Drosophila melanogaster: one gene and its partners. The protein of the gene in region 1 interacts with the protein of each later gene in a pairwise test. Each region holds a gene or a part of one and is shown on either strand. Other genes may lie near its edges. The genes, in order: slou, eEF1alpha1, CG34168 and CG31008.

Region 1 (5,748 bases):
ATGGTTTTTCCCCAATTAAAACATCAATCAATCAATTAAAAGCAATTCTATTGAAAATCCTTATTGGATATGAGTGCAGCTTTTTCGGTCTAAACAAGTTTGCGTTGGAAAAACGAAGAGTGCCAGCCTCCCAAATCGGAGATTTTTGTATTTTTTTTTGATTGCTCTGGCATTTGCGCATTTGTTTGCCATTGAATACACGCAAAATATAAATGCTTTCATTGCTAACATAAACACACCACAACACACAAGCATCAACACACATCCGCACCTACATATGTACGTGACTTGCGCCGGAAAGCAGGCAACACGAAAAATCCCAGGGCCTTCGAAATGGCAGAGTCCCAGATTTCGAGGGTGCTGCTGGCAAAACGGAAAGCCAAATTCAAAATCAAAACATACCCAAAAACGATACAAGCAGCAGTATAAATATAACATGTGCCTTCAACCACCCACAGGAATCCCGGGCACAGAAAAAACAGAAGATGCGGATGGGAAGTCGAGCTGTTTGCAGGTGTCCTGCCCATCCCCTTTCATTGCCCGTGTACTCGAGCACGGAGTGTTGCACAGAGACACTCGGGGGAACGTGCCTGGTTGGTGTGTCCTGAATTTCCCCCGATTTCAATCAAATCAGACAGCTAACCATCAAAGTGATTGCGGACTCATTGGGTGTGGGGCCGGGGTCTAAGTCAGTTGAGTAATAAATATCCCCACTCACCAGACATATCCTCGCTCTGATCGTCATCCAATCGCTCCTGCATTTCCTCGTCCCTCTCGTAGCTCCACTGCCTGGGATGGCCGAAAGGACCACTTGGCAGCTTGTTGCCCGTGAACTTGTTCGGATCCAGTATGTTCTCTACGGAGAAGGCCAGCCGCTTTGTGGCCGCATCTCGATCACTGGAGGCACTCGTGGAGGCCGAACTCGGATTCGCCGCAGCACTGCTGTTCACCGATCGCGTCAGATCCACTGGGCAGACCTACAAGGATATAGGGGAAAGTAGGGATATAGAATTAAGTAATGAATTCATTGACAGCAATTATTGCTCTTTATTTGCTAGCAATATTCACCACTTTGCATTGAATAAATCCTACGTTTAATTGCCAAACTGATCTTAAAAACTAATTGTTTTGAATAATTTTCTACCTTGTAAAGATGGTTTGTTGCAAAAATGAGTCAAATAATTATTTCGATAACAGCTTTAATTAAGAACCAGTTGCCTTTTCTTGGTAAGTTTTTAAATTGAGTGTTGAAAGGAATACCTTAATCACCGACTGGTAAACTACTTAAAATTTGTGTACCTTAGTTGTCCTAGGTGATATAATTTAGTTAAACTAAAATATAAAAAATATATTTGGAAAAGTATACCAATTATAAATAAAAATCTATAGATATAAATCAAATTCCTCAACATACCACACGCTTAAAAACAAAATGAAAATCTCAAAATCGAGCTATAAACATACAAAAAGGTTAATTTTGGCATATTTTCTCGACCAAGTGTTAATTGGGTTAATTACTCGAACGCAAAATCTAATAAAAAAGCTAATTGAGCAGAACATAAAATCAATTTGTATTAGCCAACGCTAATAAAAGCTACCAATTGTGTGGGCAATAAATATCAACATTAATAATAAATTTGCTATTTAAGTTTTCAAATTTTCACTAACAGCCTTCATTTTAGAACCAGTATTTTAATAAATCCATTTTGTATAATTGGCACACCTTAATATTAAAATCACAAAACATTTAATCTAAACTTTTTCTATATGATTTTACGAAATCCTTGCACTTAGTGCACTGAAATCTAGTTATCTTACCGACGGCGTGCTGTGCGATCCATCGTTGCTGTCCTCGTCGTTGCCATCGACGTTGAGCTCCTCGCTGGTGTCGCTCCTCGCGTATGTGGCTGCTGCAATTTGACGCGAGGTGGCCGCCGCAGCAGCTGCCGCCGCCGCCAGGCCACCCAGCTGTATTCGGAATCCGTAGTCGCTCAAGTCGCGTCCACTGGGCGATCCGGAGCTGGAGTTGGAGATGGAGATGCTGGCATTGGACACGGAGTTCGAGGCGGACGCCAAGGCGGAGGTGCTGGAAGCTTGAGTGGTGCGGGCTGCCACCGCAGCCACCAGCTTAATCCGCTCGAGATCCATGTCCGATGGTGCGGCAACCTGCTGCTGTTGTGGTGGCTGCGAGGAATGTGGCGGATTTTGGGGGGGAGCGATGGGTGGACTCATCTGCTGGTCGGAATGCATGGCCGGGGATGTGGGCGGCGACAGGGGCGAGGTGGCCGGCGAGGGTGGGGCAGTGCTGCTGCTGCTGGGAGCCCTCAAATGAAAGACCGCCGACGGATGCGGATGGGGATGCGGATGAGGGTGTGGATGCGGATGCTGATGCGAATGCGGATGTGCGGGATGCTGGTGATGCTGATGCTGATGATGGTGCATGTGCTGCTGGGCGGCGGCCAGGAACTGCGGATTCTGCAGCAAGTGGGGATGCTGCTGCAGCAGGGCCGCATGAGGATGCTGCAGTGGCTCCGGCCTTGCCAAGTGGCGCACAGCATTCAGTTCCAGGAGCTTTCGCTGCTGGGCTGGCGAGGAGAAGCTTACGGATCCCACCGATGCTGGAGGGGATTGCGAGCGACGTGTATTGCTGTTTGCATTGTGATTAGTTAGACTGTTATTGTTGTTGTGATTGGGCTTCTCCTTATCCTGGGAGTCCTCCTGCAAGGGGCTCAAGCGGCTGAGCAAGCTGCCCGATTCACTGCTCATCTGCTTGAGCCGTTCGAGGGAGTACCTCAGCTCCTGCTCCTGTTTTCCCGCCACCGCTGCGCCATTGGCGCTGATGATGAACTTGGGTATCTTGGCCGCTGGCGGAGTGCTGCCACCGCCTGTGCCGGACACCACACTGTCCGCACTCGCCACATCCGGCGAGGTGTTGGACTTGGGCGAGTCCGGGTTCGAGTTGGGACTCATCAGGCCACCGACGGCTGTGTTTTGGGCTGACGCACTATCGCTGGCCTTTTGCGCCGGCGATTGCAACATGACCATTTTTGGGTCTTTGGATATATTGTCTTGGATTCACTGGGCGTTCACTGAGAGTTCGAGTTCACTGAGTGTTCACTGCGCGTTGCGTGTCTTGTCACCTTGAGGGCAGCCAATCGACTGAATCCGGAGATGCCAATATCCGACGTGGACGCTGCCTATGCTGCCGCTGCTGCCGTCGTCGTCCGACGTCCGATTATCCTGGTCGTAATCCGCGCGCGACGACTCACACGCTCAAGAGCCAGAAGCGTAATGATGAGGGTTGTTTCCGATTTCTCCGAGTTCTTAATCCAACAGATGTGCCGTGTTGTGTGCCTGTGGCAAGTCAATAGCTAAATGCTGATGCTGCTGCTGCTGCTGCTTCTGCTTCTGGTGGTAGTGCTGGTTATGGTGGTGGTGGTGGTGGTGGTGGAGGCAGTTATCGTGGTATGGTGGTGGTTTTTGCTTTGAGTGACTCTCTGTGCGGCGCTCTACACGCCCACCGCTGAGTGGTTCTTTGAGTGGATTGGCTCCTCCCCGCCGTGGCTCTAATCTCTACTAGCATCTAATGATTTAATTTGCCTTCCACTCGTTAGCAAATGTAATGGTCTGTCGCAAGTCTAAGCCACAGAGCGGCAGGATGCGAGCGCGTGAGAAGAGGAGAGGAGAGGAGAGGAGAGGATTCCGGAGTGCTGTTTTACATAGTTCTTCACTCAACTGTAATAGCCACCCGATGGAAACAAAGGCCAGCCATACAGCCACGCAGCTAGCCAGCCAGCTGTCCAGCCATCCGTGCAGCCTTCGCCTCCCGAGGATGTGAGTAATTGTCAAATTATTTAGCGCAAAATTTGTTTGTTTATGCGGTTGGGTGCTTGCGAAATGGATCTCAACTTTTTGCACATTTCTCTCAGTTCTTGTTTTTATTTATTTGTACTATATGTTTTTCTGTTTCATATTTTCGCCAGTTGTGTGTTGAGTTTGCTTTGCTTTTGGCATGCCTGGTTTGTTCTTAGTCATTTATGCATGAATGCTTTGTGCTTTCTTCAGCTTAATTGAATTTTTGAATATTTTCGTGGCCGTAATTATGTTGCTAATTAGTTGGTTTATTTACTTTTCGCTTTTGATTTCTTTCTCTTTTATTATTCGAACGAAAAAAAAACACATCCTTGTGGTTTTTCTCCTTGACACTTCCTATGTAAAACTCAAAGCGTTCGAGGGGGACAGCCACACTATAGCCGTGCTCTTCTGCTCGCACTCTCTCTCTCTCTCTTTCGTCGGGCTTCTTTCTCTCTTACTCCTGCGCCTGCTCGCTCTCGGAAAATTCTTTAAAATTGAACAAAAATTTATATGCGCTTTGGCACAGACGATTTAATATCGCATCCAATTTGCGGTTTATACGCATCGCAGCAGTGGCCTTCAGTGGGGCGGGCTGGGTGGTCGAGGGGTGAATGAATGGATAGCTGGATGCCTGGTTCACTGGGGATAGGCCACTCGGCTCTGGGGGTTTTTCTTCTGATTCGTTTTTGGTTGTGGGGACAATGGGGCGTATAAGTGACATCGTTAAATGGACACCGGGCGCTGCTTAATGAACTCCAACGCTGGAATGTTGGGTGTTAGCTACTGCTTCTATATATCCACTGGCTTCACTTCGCCGCTCGTTAGCAAGGCTCGTCTTCTTCCTTCTATAATTAACCGCAGATCGGGGTGGCGAAGGGAACTCGGATGCTTAATGAGCAGCTTGTTATGCCGTTTTTCGTTTTAATTAGTTTTAAGATGCTGGCCACCAACACCAGAGCGTCGGGCACTCATTTTAATTGGCCCATTGATGGCGGAATCTCGTATATACTATACTCCGCACTCAGCGCATTATCACACTCGGTTGCTCATCCACGACAGTGGGACATCATCCTTTGGCTGGGCCCGTTTCTCGCTGTGTAATAAGTGCTTAACTCTTTACATGCAAAATTAAATGATGCGCATACGCACGGTAAAACCGCAAATTATTTTAATTGCTTGTCTCGTCATTATTCATTATTTAAGTGCGCTCAAACAGCCGACGTATACGGAACACGCTATAGAATGTCCATATACATACATATGTATGTGTGCATGTATGCATAAGTGTGAGTGTGTGAGTGGGCCGGCAAAATTGGCAGTTCGCCAGACGCACACACGAAAGCCGCTGTTTACATAGACATCAAACTTTTGGCGCTGCGGAAAAGCGGAAAATTGCTCTTGCTGTCGCATGTGGCCTTCTCTCCCTCTCACTCTCGCTGTCTCCCTTTCTCGCTCTCTCTCTGCCTCTCTCGCTCACTATCTGATGTACTTACTCTTCCATTTAATTAGTGAAAATAAGTATTAAATGAGCAGCTCTTGTTAAAATAAATAGTGCATGCAATGGCGGCCGCCCGCCCCTTTTCCTGTTTGCTTTTCCCGTTGGCTTTCAACAGGCTGTGCAAGATTTACAACTAATTAAAAGGCAAATAAAAGGCTAGCAGAGCGATGGGGAAAATCGGAAAATCGATAGGCTGATAATATGAGCCGCTGACCTCGCGACAAAAGGCAATTAAAAGCACAAGTGCGCGGTCATCTGCATAATTATGCGATAATTAAATTATTGCCAATTTATTTATAGGATTTCCCTTAGTTTTGCCAGCCGTCTGCCCTAAGCCCTATCCCGTTGTATTTGTATATTTAATGAAGTGTGAGAGAGATGGCCTCCACTTTCGC
Region 2 (7,654 bases), on another chromosome or scaffold:
AGAACCGCTTCAAGGCCAAGTACATCATCGGGGACAAGCGGCGCGCCGAGGACGATCGCGTCTATCTCGATCCTTACTGGGTGCTGGACAGCATCACGAATATGCAAATTCAGCGCTTTGGCAAATATCTTATGAAGAGCGCCATTATCTCGGCCGATGGGATCCGGTACGAGGATCCTAGGGATCGCGATGAGGACAAAACACAAAGAAGGCACCTTCACGACTTCGTCGATCCACCGTTTGTGCTGGACAAATAGAGATCAGTGGGTGCATCCACTTCACTTTACTAAATATTTAAGCTAGGACACACAGAGTACCATTTTCCCACACTGTTTCACCTTTTTGTGCAAATTACTCCAATGTAAATATAGTTATATTTAAATCCATATATGTATTTTACGATCTTAGTTTATTTTCTAGTACATTTTTTAATTTGTTTTTATACAGATTTTACGAAGGAAATAATATATCCCATAACTTTAAACAGAAATTATAAAAAAACACTTGTTCCAACTTCGTTCGTTATTATTTAAATAAATAAATCAATGCATTTTTCTCTATTTGCGATGAGAAATAAAAGCCCCCCCCCCCCCCTCAAATACAATAAAAAATATTCATTATTCTTCAGATGCAATTGCTTGCTTTATTTAAACGATTGAGGTATTTGTTGTCAGATTCAATTGTTGTACTCTTCGACTAGCTCTTGTTTGTACTTTGTGGCATCGACGATAAGTGAACTTGGAGTTAGGGACGATCGATCATGGCGCTGAAAATCGGGAGGCAACAAGCAAAGAGAGTGCTCTTTTACGGGCTGGGTGGTAAAAACAAAAGAAATACAAAAATAGGGTTTTTATTTTTTTTGTAAATATAGTTATCGCTTCTATTCTGGTTCTTTTCTTGTGTACAAAGTAGTGTGTGCAAAAGTAGGGTAAGATAAATGATACATATCAAAGTATAAAGGTTAATTTAAACGATATCATAAATGCTACAGAGGATTCCTATATATGATATGATAAAACGAAGTCAACTCCGTGCATCATACCATATTTAGTAAACTAAAGATCGACGGGGAAGTGGATGAGGAGTGGATGCATAAATGCAAGTGTTTTCCCAGTGTGCACTCTTATCCTTGGGATCCACCGTTTCCCAATTTAGGCGGCCTCGTCTGCATTTAGCATTCGTATCCGTCGAAACTCCTTTCGATGGAAGAAATTAAACTTATGCTTCTGCTGAAACATCATCTTATCGGTCATCTTGCGCAGGACAGGTGTTGGTGTTATACTACTATTGTGTTCGCTGCTGCTGTTGCTGGTATTATTGAGTGGTGTTGTTGGCTGCATTATGATGTTGGTTATATGCTTGTTGTTGCTGCTACTACTGCGTGTTGTTGTTGTTGTTGAGTGGAAGCAAACCAGCTACTTCTTGCCCTTGGTGGCCTTCTCGGCGGCCTTGGTGACCTTGCCACCGGAGGCATCCTTGAAGTTGACAGCCTTAATGACACCGACAGCCACGGTCTGCCTCATGTCACGCACAGCGAAGCGACCCAGAGGGGGGAACTCCTGGAAGGCCTCCACGCACAGGGGCTTAGAGGGCACCAGGTTGACGATGGCAGCATCGCCAGACTTGATGAACTTGGGGTTCTCCTCGGTGGTCTTGCCGGAACGACGGTCGACCTTCTCCTTGATCTCAGCGAACTTGCAAGCAATGTGAGCGGTGTGGCAATCCAACACGGGGGTGTAGCCGTTGGCAATCTGACCGGGGTGGTTCAGCACGATGACCTGGGCGGTGAAGTCGGCGGCTCCCTTGGGGGGGTTAGCCTTGGAGTCACCGGCAACGTAGCCACGACGCAGCTCCTTCACGGACACGTTCTTGACGTTGAAGCCAACGTTGTCTCCGGGAACGGCCTCCTGCAGGGCCTCGTGGTGCATCTCCACGGACTTGACCTCAGTGGTGATGTTAGCAGGGGCGAAGACCACAACGGTACCGGGCTTCAGCACACCAGTCTCCACACGACCCACGGGTACTGTTCCAATACCGCCAATTTTGTACACATCCTGCAGGGGCAGACGCAGGGCCTTGTCGGTGGGACGGGCTGGGGGAAGGATGGCATCGAGGGCATCGATCAGGGTCTTGCCGTCAGCGTTACCCTCCTTGCGCTCCACCTTCCATCCCTTGAACCAGGGCATGTTGGTAGAGGGTTCCAACATGTTGTCGCCGTGCCATCCGGAAATGGGCACGAAGGCAACGGCGGCTGGGTTGTAGCCGATCTTCTTGATGTAAGAGGACACTTCCTTCTTGATTTCCTCATAACGGGCCTCGCTGTATGGTGGCTCGGAGGAGTCCATCTTGTTCACACCAACGATCAGCTGCTTCACACCCAGGGTGAAGGCGAGCAGGGCGTGCTCGCGGGTCTGGCCGTTCTTCGAGATACCTGCCTCGAATTCTCCGGTTCCGGCGGCGACAATCAGCACGGCGCAATCGGCCTGCGAGGTACCAGTGATCATGTTCTTGATGAAATCCCTGTGTCCGGGGGCATCAATGATGGTCACGTAGTACTTGGCAGTTTCGAACTTCCACAGGGCGATATCGATGGTGATACCACGCTCGCGCTCAGCCTTCAACTTATCCAAAACCCAGGCGTACTTGAAGGATCCCTTTCCCATCTCCTGGGCCTCCTTCTCGAACTTCTCGATGGTACGCTTGTCGATACCACCGCACTTGTAGATCAAGTGTCCGGTGGTGGTCGACTTACCGGAATCGACGTGTCCGATCACGACAATGTTAATGTGAATCTTTTCCTTGCCCATGTTGGATGATTACACTATGGCTGTTGTGTGTATTCGAGTGTTGGATTGACGGAACGTTGGAACATTGGAAGGTTGCAGGGTTCGGCGGGTTGGCGAGCAAGAGAGGTTGGAATAAACAAAGGGTAAAACAATTCGTTAGCATTCGGTGGGATTACAACTACAATTATTAGTGGGTATAACACTTTCTCATTTCCCTAGCGTACGTTCGACTTTTGTTTGCATGCGCGAGCACAACCTAACCTCAAACTCTTGCAGCCGTACAAAACGTGTTTTTTGAGGTTAGGTCCAGTGCCCGCATGTAAGGGTGTGGGTAAAACGAGTGGGGCGCAACTACAGAAAAGAGCGTGCAAATAAAATTCCATATGGAAACTCGATTTTGTTTCAGTGATTTTGGTATTTTTGCTTTCGTCAACTGTCTTCAGTAGCAGAACTGAAAAATCATCATCATGTTAAATCGAAGAGTCCAAAGGAAAATTCCAGCAAATTTAATTCGCAAATACACATGTGCTTATCTGCCTATGCGTGTGTATATCTATGCCTGTGTATTTGTGTGACGCTGTTGCCGGCCGGAGGAAAAGTAAGAGAGGAATAGAGAGAGAGAGAGACCAAAATGGCGGATGTGCATTAGTGTGCGTGTGTGACTTGTACAAATGCAAGCGATCTCGCCGCGGTGGCACAATTGGTAATTGGAAAGAAATGAAAAAGAGAGGGGCACACAACGAATTATTCAAGAACGTAGTGCAGCGGCAGCCATTTTACCAAAACCAATTATGGAGTCGGTTGGAAATGGCGAAATAGCTGATGCGAGTGCCATTTCACCAGATATGCTAATGGGCTGGAAACCCAAAAAAGCACATTTTTTCGCTTGTTGCCAGGCGAATTTTTTTCGCCCACTTGACTCACGCCACTGGGTCGCCATTTTAGAATTCCATGCCGCAAAAAGAAAGAATAAGGAATATCTATAGGTCATGACAAAGGCAAGAGAGAAAGCACGTTTTTTTTTCTCGGTTAATGAGCACATCTGGTGGATGACCTCTGTGTCCGGCGTGGGCGTGGCAAAGTAATTACACACTAAGTGCACCATATTGCAGGGCGAAAATGCGGCCGGAAAAGCCGGAAAATTATTTTGAGAATGCTGGGAACTTTAACTGGGAACGCCAGTTAAAATTTTTGCCTTTGCAGACTTGCCACGTGTTTGCTTCTATGGCCACCTTTCACTTTGGAAAACCGCAGTTAGAGGTTATCTCCGGGTTTATTACACACACACAGGAAAAACACTGGAAATATGCACAAATTCGGCGTCTCAGCTGCATATTTGTTTATAAATTGTTTTCTGGCTGCAGTCCCGTTGCAGAAATTACTTAATTATAGCCTCGCAGGTAAAACTTACTCTCGAATAAGCTGAATGAGAAATCACGAAGTCTAAGCGGCGACGGATTCGAACAAAGTGAACGAGCGTTCGGCAGAGCTCAGCACAGGAAGCCTCGTTTGACACATGGTGTGACCGAAGCTACGCAACTGTCAAAAGAGCAGAAACCGTGTTCTCACTGCGGTGTTTCCACTACGCGCGAATGAAGCACTTCATTTTATTGAAATTTAAGTGATTGAAAGTGGCAAAATACAATAACCTAACGATTGAGGGATTTAAAAAACCTTGTTTGCTCGACATTGTTTTTATATGAAAAACTAAATAATCAGTGATTCCAAAAATATTTTCTACAAAACGATGTCTATAATTTCTATACGTAATATTGGAACACATATCTCTTAATATTTAAAAACTATAACAATTGCATTAGTAGTCCGCATTTTGAACTTTTAGACTAGAACCTGAACTTTAATTTGTATGTGAACCCTAACGTAATAGAACTTTAAATAACAATAGAAGCTTGAGATCGTTTAAATTTATGTAATACGTTTCATTTATTTATACATTTTTTGGCGTCCGTTGCTACAACTAAAATATGCTACAAATAAAACTATAAGTAATTTGGTATTGTATCAATTTATACAATATTGTAAAAATTTATAACTTAAGATCTCACGTTTTAATACTTTTTCTTCTGGAATTCATCAGAATGCTAATATTTATTTGAATTTGTAACTTACTGCTTAATATTTTTTGTTAGACTATTTTTTCACTCAGTTTTCACTTGTACTCAATAAATTTATTCATTGTGCATAGAACAAAAGTTGTTAGCCTGCCCCTTATATAGGACGCAATTAAAAGTTCCTAAGTGTTTTCCTAATTTTGTGAAATTAATTAATTAGTTATTAATAATATGATTATTGTTATGCTTGCGAAATCAGTTAACAATAAATGCAATTACCATCTTTTATGAAATGATAATTTGACAAAATTTTATTATAAATCGGTATCAATTAAATTAATTTAAATCTAGATCTCAACTTTTCTGTGTGACTGGAAAGAATTATAGCTAAAGCATTTAAAACCCACACATATAGACATTAGTCATTAATAAATGATGAGCCATCTTTATTTATTGTTTACATATGCAGGAAAGCTCACAACTGAGAGCTTTTTCCAACTTTAGACATTTTCGGCCTAGCCCCACCTGGCCACACTACGACGAAACAGAATAAGAAGCGACGTGGCGAAAGAGGCAAAAAGCGAATTCAATCGTTGAAAAATACCGAACCGGTCCGGTACTCAGTTTTTGTTGTAGAAGTAGGCGTTCGACGGCCTAGTTGAACTTGAATTATTCACCGATATCGCTTCAAGTGAACCCAAATAATGATGTGGCGCCTTGCTGGAGTGCTCCTACTAGGCTTCATCGCCATCTCGTCCGGAGCGGAGCAGGATGTCCTGGAACTGGGGGACGACGACTTTGCCACCACCCTAAAACAACACGAGACGACGCTGGTCATGTTCTACGCCCCCTGGTGAGTTAGTGAGTGGGCGTGGCCGGGCGCCATCCTACAACAAATGCATTGCGTGTGCGATTCGCGTATAATCCGCTTGTTGCGTCCGCAACTTAATTCGATTCCCAATGCCCAGTGCCGACCGATGCCCGATTTTCCGGCCATCGCAAGCGCAAAGTACACGTCAGCGTTTGCCTTGCTTTTGCCGGCAAATAAAGAAGGAACGAGTGACGGAACGAAACGAGACGCAAAGAGAGGGGCAATGATGATATGCCAGTATTGGTGCCGTCGGCCATTTTAGAGCGCGGGGTGCCAAAGTGCCTAGTTGGTACAATTTCCGTGCAATTCCTGCTCCACTTGTCCACTGGCTAATGATAGTGAGCAGGCATAGGGGCCCCAGTGTACATAGCGCATCTTTTATTATAGTTTCTTATGCCTATGCATTATACCCATAATCCCAGGAATGTGTAATTCTAAGGGTTAACTTAGATTTAGCTTGAAACTGGTTATCATAGTCTGAAACACTCACAGTTCTCATACAAATGTAATTTCCCAACAGTTTACACCAACCATATTAAAACTTCAATTTTAATTGCCTGCCTACTCACAAAAGTTATGCTGATTGTGCTATAAATTTCTCATGTCAGTAGACACATTTTTAACTTCCATCGTAATCCACACTGAACACAATAACCTTTTAATACATTTTTGTTTAGTACATAACACATATTTACTGTGCCTATTTACTCTCTTTTGAGCCATTTGTTTGCCCATTATCAGGGGTAAACTATAAGCTCACACTTGGACAATGAACTAGGTAAATTATTAGCGTTTTTTTTGCCGGCCGGCTTTCGAAATCCCCAAAGAGCTGTTGAACTACTTGGCATGGAGACTTGATTCCCTCATGACGAACCTTATCAGTATTCAAGCATAAATACACAGGGATGAAGTTGAAAAAGTTGTACACTGCAATAAAACTGCTCTTTTCATTATAACATAGTTAACTTAAGGCATCACTTATCTTTATCAAAAATGAATTATTATCTGCACTGCTAAGAGTGCAGACTATACTCTGCTGTTTCAAATAAGTACCAAGTCGTTTTTCTCTCTGTATGCCTAATGGGCACTTGTACTTGTGTGATAAGACAGTTGATAATTCCAGCACCCTTACTTTAATTACAAGCTAGTTTTTTGGGAACTTGTCTTCCCGTTGCCTTGATAACAAATGATGAATTAGATAGTATTGTTACCAACATAATGTTTAAGTGACGTGTCCTAACAGAGTGTTTTTTCCTGTTTAAGGTGCGGCCACTGCAAGCGATTGAAGCCCGAGTACGCCAAGGCGGCGGAGATCGTGAAAGACGATGATCCGCCAATCAAACTGGCCAAGGTTGACTGTACGGAAGCTGGAAAGGAAACGTGTAGCAAGTACTCCGTCAGCGGCTACCCAACGTTGAAGATTTTCCGTCAGGATGAGGTGTCGCAGGACTACAATGGACCACGCGAAGCCAGCGGCATTGCCAAGTACATGCGCGCCCAAGTGGGACCCGCCTCCAAGACCGTGCGCACCGTTGCCGAGCTGAAAAAGTTCCTGGACACCAAGGACACCACGCTGTTCGGCTACTTCAGCGACAGCGACTCCAAACTGGCCAAGATTTTCCTGAAGTTCGCCGATAAGAACCGCGAAAAGTACCGCTTCGGACATTCAAGCGAAAAGGAAGTCCTCGATAAGCAGGGCGAAACGTAAGTGGGAGGCTCTAATCAAGACTCGTACATCTGTGTATTATGTGTTTTTCGTTTTATATATTTTCTAAGTGTTAATAAACTAGAGCCTAGTTGGGATTTTCATATTTGTTTAAATGTAATGAAAGGTTCATCCATTTCATTGTTCATTTAACTTGCTCCAAAGTTTTCTCCAAAAAGTTTCCACTTTTAGGTTTTTATGTTAAAATGTGTTAATGTAA
Region 3 (3,530 bases), on another chromosome or scaffold:
ATCGTTGGAATTTTCACTTCTTTACCCAAATGAATCTGTTAAAGAGGAGGATGAATGGTCTGAATTTACAGAGGAGAATCGTATGGAGCTCATGAGCTTGGGCCACAGCTCTGGCTCAACAATACTGACTCAATTGGCCGTCGGCGATGTCAAAGCTCAAGATTCGGAGCAAACCGATACAGGTGGCGATGGCATGAACGTGGGTCAGAAACATGATGATGACATCGGCAATACCACTTGTCCCTGGGTGAAAATGGAGCACGCACTGGAGCAGCAGAAGCTAAAGGAGCCGATGTCTGTGGAGCAACCGAATAAGAAAGAACCGTCCGAGGTAAAGAGCCAAATCTACATACCACCTGCTCTCCGCCAGAGCCAAGGTGACTTCAATCGACGGGATCAGGCTGAGAGCCGTCTGCGTAAGGTTCCATCCAAGATGTCCGGAAAACCTCAAGCTCCTGATCTCAACAGTGACGAGTATTTCCCCAGTCTTAGCAAAGCACTCAAACGCACCAAGTAGCCGTATCACGATGATATACTCTTTAAACTTACCGTTTCTGTTGTTCACTATGTTTAACGATATCAATTTTTCTGGTCGATCTGATGCGGGGTGCCTCGATTAAATAAAATTGAAAGCAATCAGCAAGCCCATCTGTTTTAGTGGTGTTTTACTCGTAAACAAATTTGCACTCAACAGGCCCATTAGCATTACACGTCTTTTTGGCTGGTCCCCGATGTATCGTTAGCCGTAAACGAGCCAAATATTTACAATCAAATGGGGTTTAGCCTTAAATGCACCCGGCGGACTGAAAAGAAAACCAAAAACGGCAAATTACGAGATGGAATTTTGTGATTGTTTCCACAGAATGCATGCCAAATATTTAATTAGGTTTGCTAACTGTTGATAGCAATACATGTGAAGTGAAATTAAAGTGGTCTATTTTTGAATTATACGTATAATTTATTAACATCTATTTCTGATGGCATAATCTTTCATCGAACACAAATCTTTGGATCCACTTTGCCTGACAACTTTTCAGCGTGGCTCCTCATCTTCGACAAGGCCTCACGGCTGCAATCTTTAAAGCTCCTGTTCCAGATCGCGGATAAAGAAACCCTACATTCCTTCTAAGCAGGCTAACAATGTCCACCATACGGCCCGTAGCATGAGCAGCAACCATATGGGCCACAAGGACCGCAACAGTGGTTGACCGAACGGAACCACTGGCCATTGTAGGGTCCGCAGAGCAGGCAGGGTCCCAGTCCGCCAGTCGGTCCACAGCAAGTGCCGGGCATCGAGCACATTCCTGGATTGCACATTTTATTCTGAAAACGAAATGAAACGAATCGAGGATATTTTCAAGAAACAAATTCGTTTGTTGTTCACACTCACATTAGCCTGATTACGGAAGTAGGATTTTCAGTCCTAGAAATTTGGTAGTCGTACAAATAGATGTTTTCTGTTGGAGAACCGAAACTATAATGAGCTAAAGCCACTAGCTTGGTCCACAAAGTTCTACAGATTTAACTTTGATTTCATGGCCTTCTATGTTGTGGTTTCATGGCCTGCTTTTAAAATGCTTTTTTCCAAATTTTAAAATTTGATTAACTATATATACAGTTAGCCTCTTAGCCTCTTATCTAATTCGCTTTAAGAATTTTAATTCATAAAACCGTTCCCGATTGTTTGTGTGTCCCATAAAATTCCACTCCATTGCTCCTCCAAAAATACTTCAGTCCGTCCCGAAGGACTTCCCATTCCCCTAAAACTCTCGATGTCATAATTTAGCCGAAGGCGCAACAAGTCGGAAAAGCCAAGCCGCGACTGATTTTTCCTCTTTGCCCCACCTTTCATTGTTTTACCAAGAGCAGAGTTTTCTTAAGCATTTTGTGTTGGGCAATGCACACAAACCTATTTTTCTTCACAGCCGGGATTCCGTCTTCTTGTTTACGGACAACAGAGCCGGGATTCGCAGTCAAAGTGAAGTAAAGTCACTTGACAAGTTTTGTCACGTGCGTCACATGTTGGAATGTCCCCCAGCCACCCAGGCCACCCACTTTTCCGACTCTACCCATATTTCCACTCTGGCTTCTGAGCATTTGGAAGCAATTTTCCAGGCATGCCTTGCCGCTTCTGTCGTTGTCGTCATTTCATTGTTTCAAAATTGTTGCTCATGTTGTTTCTGTTGTTGACCTGGTTCTCTGTTTTCTTTTCTTTTTTTTTTGCCACGTTTCTTGGTTACCAACCGGTCTGCTTCAACTGAAAAGAGCTCTTGCTGGCGTAAATGTGTTTGTGATTATTTAGTTATGGCATCTAATTGAGTTTGGTGTTTGTTTGGCTGGCGCGGGAGTGTGCAAAGTGTGCTTATGCAATAGCTAATTGAGTCGATTACCCCAACACTTTTCACGTTTTCACCCAAATAAGCTGTAAGGCTGAGTGTAAATTAATCCATCTCGAAGTTCCTAATTTTTATGAGTTTAAGAAAATAAGTAAAAAAAACTCTGAAGGATGAAGAATTCTGTACATTTTACAAGTTTATTTACTTATAAAGCTCATGTACATCGATTTTCCAACATCACTATCTCATCTATTACTTAATCGAATTAAATGAAGGAAAGGCCAAGAAAATTTGATCGGATTAACTTCTTATCTTTTACCAACATTAAATTAAAGCACTTCCGCCCTTCGTAAATAGCCCGTTCGTTTGGTGGCCTTTTGGGTCTGGTTGAGCTTATTTTCTGTTCCGATTCCGGAACCCCGAATACCCCGGGAAAATTCCCGTATCCCCTTCCGTAACCAAACATCATCTCCATCGCGTGTTGGTCTCGTATTACAGCATTGCATATTCGCAGGCGCGTGCGCTCCCATTCGATTTGAACTCCATGGCGACTTTAAGGAAAATGCATCGAAGAGCCGAATATGTTGTGACTGTGAAGCTTAATGTTTCGTGTTGATGTGACTTTTTTCCACTGTTTTTTTCCGGCTTCTTCGCTGGTATTTTTACAGTTTTCAGCAATGCCTTTTTCAGCCCGCTCAGAAGTTCAATGTCCCCCATTTTATGAGCGTCCGTGCAGCGGAAGTTTTGGAGCGATAAGTTTTTGGTTCCGTTCTTATGTTTTTGATTTATTTGTTTGTAACTCACAGCTTAAAAGCGGAAGAAAACTCCATTAAAATGTTTAATCATAACTAATAATGCATAATTGCACAATAAATTTTAAAATATACATACATATGAGGAAAGCTACAAGTGCTCACATAGATTCTACATAGTCAAATAGAAAACTTTATTTAATTTAAAACCATAAAATATTAATTATTCATTTATGTAACTTATAAATAAAAATTAAACTTAATACACAATCTGTACTCTTTAAAATATAATTATTACTATCGACAACAAAGGAAATTTTCGGGTAGTAAAAATAGATTTCTGATTAATAAATTGGCAAAATACCTTCAAAGGAAGTCTGTTGTGGTCACTTGCCTGTCTGAATAATCCAGCGATGGGGACTTTTATTGACGAAGCACTTGC
Region 4 (3,539 bases), 9.4 Mb from region 1:
GAATTTAATGACAGCTATGTGTCTATTTTTATAGATATAAAACACGAATTTAAAAGCTTAGTTCTAAGACAGTATTCGTTCCATTTGCAATTATTGCTGTGGAATGCTTCAACGAATGTATTATTTTTACGTCTGCCTTTTAGCGGAAATGGCATTCTTCAATTATTAAAACATGACATAACCGCCAAGTGTTTCAGGTTAGGCAGGCTTGACTGTATAATGCGTACGAGTTCCCCGGAGGAGTTGGGTGCTGCGAAAATATGCTCGAAATTAAAAAGGGTATTCTCTCTGGGGTCCTCAATGTCAGCGTCGTCGCCTTGACGTGGCCAAAAACATTTCGCTGGCTTAATTGCGCGCAAGCCAAGCAGATAAAAAAACAAAATGAAAAAGTTTGGGGCCCACCGAAAAAAAAAAACGGAAAAACGCGAAAACGCGAAACAAAAGCGCTCAAAGCGAGGAGAAAAGCGCGTTCAACGCTGAAATCGGTGGGGAGGGGTTTCATTTTTGGGCGGTGGTGAAGTAACATAACAAAACAAAATTAAAGTAAATATGCGCCCGGATCCACAGACAAAGTAGAAAGGCAAACAAAGCCGAGATCCTGACAAGGGGTCGAGCGACAGGCGCCAGAAGAGCCAGGAGAGGCAAGGATGACAGTAAACAAAATCACAATTAACTGAGAATGACGAAAAATAACAGCGCCAAAGGAGCAGCGAGCATGTGACAATGGGGCAGCTTTAAAGTGGTAAAAAAAAAACAGGGGAAGCTCAAGGACGAAGGACCTGTCATAAAGCATTTTAATTGCGCACCCACATCGCCTGAACTTGATTGGAAGTGCTGAAGTCTATTCAAATTGGACCCAAGGACAAAATGGAATATTTAATGATTGGAAAAGGGTTTTCGGGCTGTAATGCGCAGATTATAGTGACAATGACATGGCAGCGGAGCTCTAATAAATGTCTGTGAAGCAATAGGGTTACTATTATCCCTGTATCTGCAGGGGTAAAATAATTAAACTATTAGCAAGTCTAGTAACTAAAATTTTATTGCGAGTTACTTGTAAGGCTGCGCATTAACGTCTTATAATTTGACAAATTAAAATCCCTTCCCCTTTCTAGCTTCCTAAATATTGTACTGGCGGTGGCATCGTCGCACAGCATCGTTGAACTCCTTGCACACACTGAGATCGTCATTGTCCTCGGTGCACTTCAAGAACTCCTTCATTTCCTTGGCGCAAGGACCTTCTTCGACTAAATCGCTGTGGTGCGGCTGCTGGTCACGCCGCCTGAATAGCCCCGTTATTCCTGATCCGATGGCATGACCCACGACTGATCCTGCTGCCACGCCCACTGCGTGGGCAGCCGCTTCCTTGAAGACCATTTCGGAATTCGTGACGGTGGGCACCACCGCAGGCATATAGTTTGTAGAGCCTGCTTTGACCGAAGCACTTCTCTGTTTGCGTGGCATCTTTTCTCCCCTTTTCCAGGCTTTAAATTTATGTATATTTTAAGCCGAGCAGAATTAGACTTACTTTTAAAAGGTAGATTAGAATTTCGAATGACACATGTGCCATTTTGATGGCTTACTCATAGACACCTGGCCTGCTCCGGGAATCCTTTTACAGCTGTGACAGCTAATTTATATTGCATTCCCTGTCAGCTAATTGCTAAGTGCATGCAACAGCGCCACCTGGTGGCCAGAACCCTGCAGCGAGGACGAAAAAAGGAATTCTAATTCGTTTTCCCTTCTCACTTTTTGCGTTTGCTTTTCCCATTTCCCGCACTAATTACGAACACATAATGAATTTGTCGGCAAACGCGAGAGGTATAAAAGCAATACAAATACACAACTCCAGCTGGCTTCCCTTTTAAAATTCCAACAAGGAGGGGGGGTTCATCTGGTGGGGATATGTGGCCCGCAAAATACACTGAACAAAATGTTCAGAGCTACTATTGAAATCTTTTGAACAACAAAGCTTATTTATACTAATTTATTGTTAAATGGTCTGAACTTCAAACAATTTTGTTTGTCTCTTATATTTTTCCTACGCTCGCACCCTTTTGAGTTAAGCGAAGGACCCTAATGAACATCCCAAAAAACATTAACAAAATGGATTTTAGATTTTTGTTGCTGGTGGAACCGCAAAGGAAATTGCTTTACCCGAAGAGTATTTCAGACAGCAAGAACTAACGCTTTCGACTTTCAACAAAGTCAAACCTCTTTGCTTTTAGCGAGTGCAACGGAAATTCTTTAATTGGCTGGCAGCATGCTAGAGTTGTGACTATTTTTGCTTTTGGGGGAGAAGCGAAAACACAGCGGCAATTAGCCGAACTGCCAAAAGTTTGGGCCTAATTCGAATTACGCAGTGCCCCATATGCTAAATTTTGGCAGCGAGTTCATGTGGCAAACGGAATATTTCATTAAATTATTGCCAACCGCAGAAAGGCGAAAACAGACCCGCTGCAAATGCCGCTTGATTGATGCTGTGTTTAATGTTGCACAGTGGAGAGTGGGGAATTTCCCCCTTAAATGCTGGGTCCGTGTTCATCAGCACTATACAATTTCCACTCACTCTGTTATGAATATTTAAGCAAATTATATTTGCTCGCTGAAATTGTGAGCCGCCTGCCATGTGAATAAATGTGACGACAGCAGCTGCCACTTTCAGCTGCGAAAAAGTGAAGAAAAACTCTACGCGATGCTAATTTAATTTTGTTTATTGTTTTGGCTACAACTTAATCGGCCCAACTCTCTACTCGATTCGCCGCTCCCAGCACTGTTTATAAATCAATCAACATCAATAATGTTTCGGCAAGCAAGATGGATGGCCTTGAGCTCTGGGTTGAGTTGGATGGATCTTCGTTCTTGCTGGTGGCTGCCCGCATAACGCCAATTAATTTGCTTCTCCGAAGGCTCTTTCTACGCAGTCCTCGTAAAAAATGGAAGGCAATTGCTCAAAGTGTAAATCGAAATTGATAGATAGCACCAATTGAGGAGGAATATCAAAATTTGGTTAGGAATGACTGTAACATGTCTATTTCCCACTTTCCGGAGACATTTTGAGTTTTAATTTCACCAAATCGACCACAAAAGTCGGGAAACACACTGATTTTTCATTTGTTTTTCTAAGCATTCTATCCCAATCAATTTTTTACAAATTTTGAGAAAAAAATTTTTTTGCCAAATTTTCACTTTTTTATAATACATCATCATTTTTTGCAAAAATTGAAAAAAAAAAAAATTTTTAATTCGATCGCCGATCAAAAAGGATGTTTCTACCAGTCTGACAAGGCGAAAAATTTTCATTTTATTCCGAAAAAATGTCTATTTTTGGGTAGCCAACTGCAAATTAAATACCATATGTACATATATGTATGCTTTAGATTAATCTCATTGATTTGCTTCTGTAATCTGGATGAGGTCACCATCCTAGCATCTCAGACATTATAGCGCCGCCGACACTGCTGCATTGCCTCGTTAAACTCCTTGCAAACGGAGAGATCACTGCTGTTGTCCTCGGTGCACTTGAGGAACTGCCTCAG

Evidence for each region.
Region 2: the proteins of slou (region 1) and eEF1alpha1 interact in a two-hybrid assay, tested with the Drosophila melanogaster proteins (one large-scale study listed by BioGRID).
Region 3: the proteins of slou (region 1) and CG34168 interact in a two-hybrid assay, tested with the Drosophila melanogaster proteins (one large-scale study listed by BioGRID).
Region 4: the proteins of slou (region 1) and CG31008 interact in a two-hybrid assay, tested with the Drosophila melanogaster proteins (one large-scale study listed by BioGRID).

The regions. Positions count from the first base shown.
Region 1 is NT_033777.3:21,553,814-21,559,561, forward strand, and holds the start of slou (slouch), read right to left. Parts: upstream 3,370-5,748; 5' UTR 3,046-3,369; coding exon 1,819-3,045; intron 978-1,818; coding exon 719-977; intron 1-718. UniProt on the Drosophila melanogaster protein: May play a role in specifying the identity of particular somatic muscles and neurons of the CNS.
Region 2 is NT_033778.4:11,888,728-11,896,381, reverse strand, and holds eEF1alpha1 (eukaryotic translation elongation factor 1 alpha 1), read right to left. Parts: upstream 5,248-7,654; 5' UTR 5,138-5,247; intron 4,987-5,137; exon of another isoform or gene 4,917-4,986; intron 4,261-4,916; exon of another isoform or gene 4,198-4,260; intron 3,260-4,197; exon of another isoform or gene 3,187-3,259; intron 2,841-3,186; exon of another isoform or gene 2,828-2,840; 5' UTR 2,808-2,827; coding exon 1,416-2,807; 3' UTR 862-1,415; downstream 1-861. Other genes in the region: MCPH1 (microcephalin), read left to right, coding at 1-257; ERp60 (endoplasmic reticulum p60), read left to right, coding at 5,563-5,711, 6,993-7,433. UniProt on the Drosophila melanogaster protein: This protein promotes the GTP-dependent binding of aminoacyl-tRNA to the A-site of ribosomes during protein biosynthesis.
Region 3 is NT_033779.5:16,133,772-16,137,301, forward strand, and holds CG34168 (uncharacterized protein), read right to left. Parts: upstream 1,502-3,530; 5' UTR 1,391-1,501; intron 1,324-1,390; 5' UTR 1,318-1,323; coding exon 1,135-1,317; 3' UTR 943-1,134; downstream 1-942.
Region 4 is NT_033777.3:30,988,453-30,991,991, forward strand, and holds CG31008 (uncharacterized protein), read right to left. Parts: upstream 1,555-3,539; 5' UTR 1,465-1,554; coding exon 1,120-1,464; 3' UTR 1,026-1,119; downstream 1-1,025. Other genes in the region: CG31007 (uncharacterized protein), read right to left, coding at 3,435-3,539.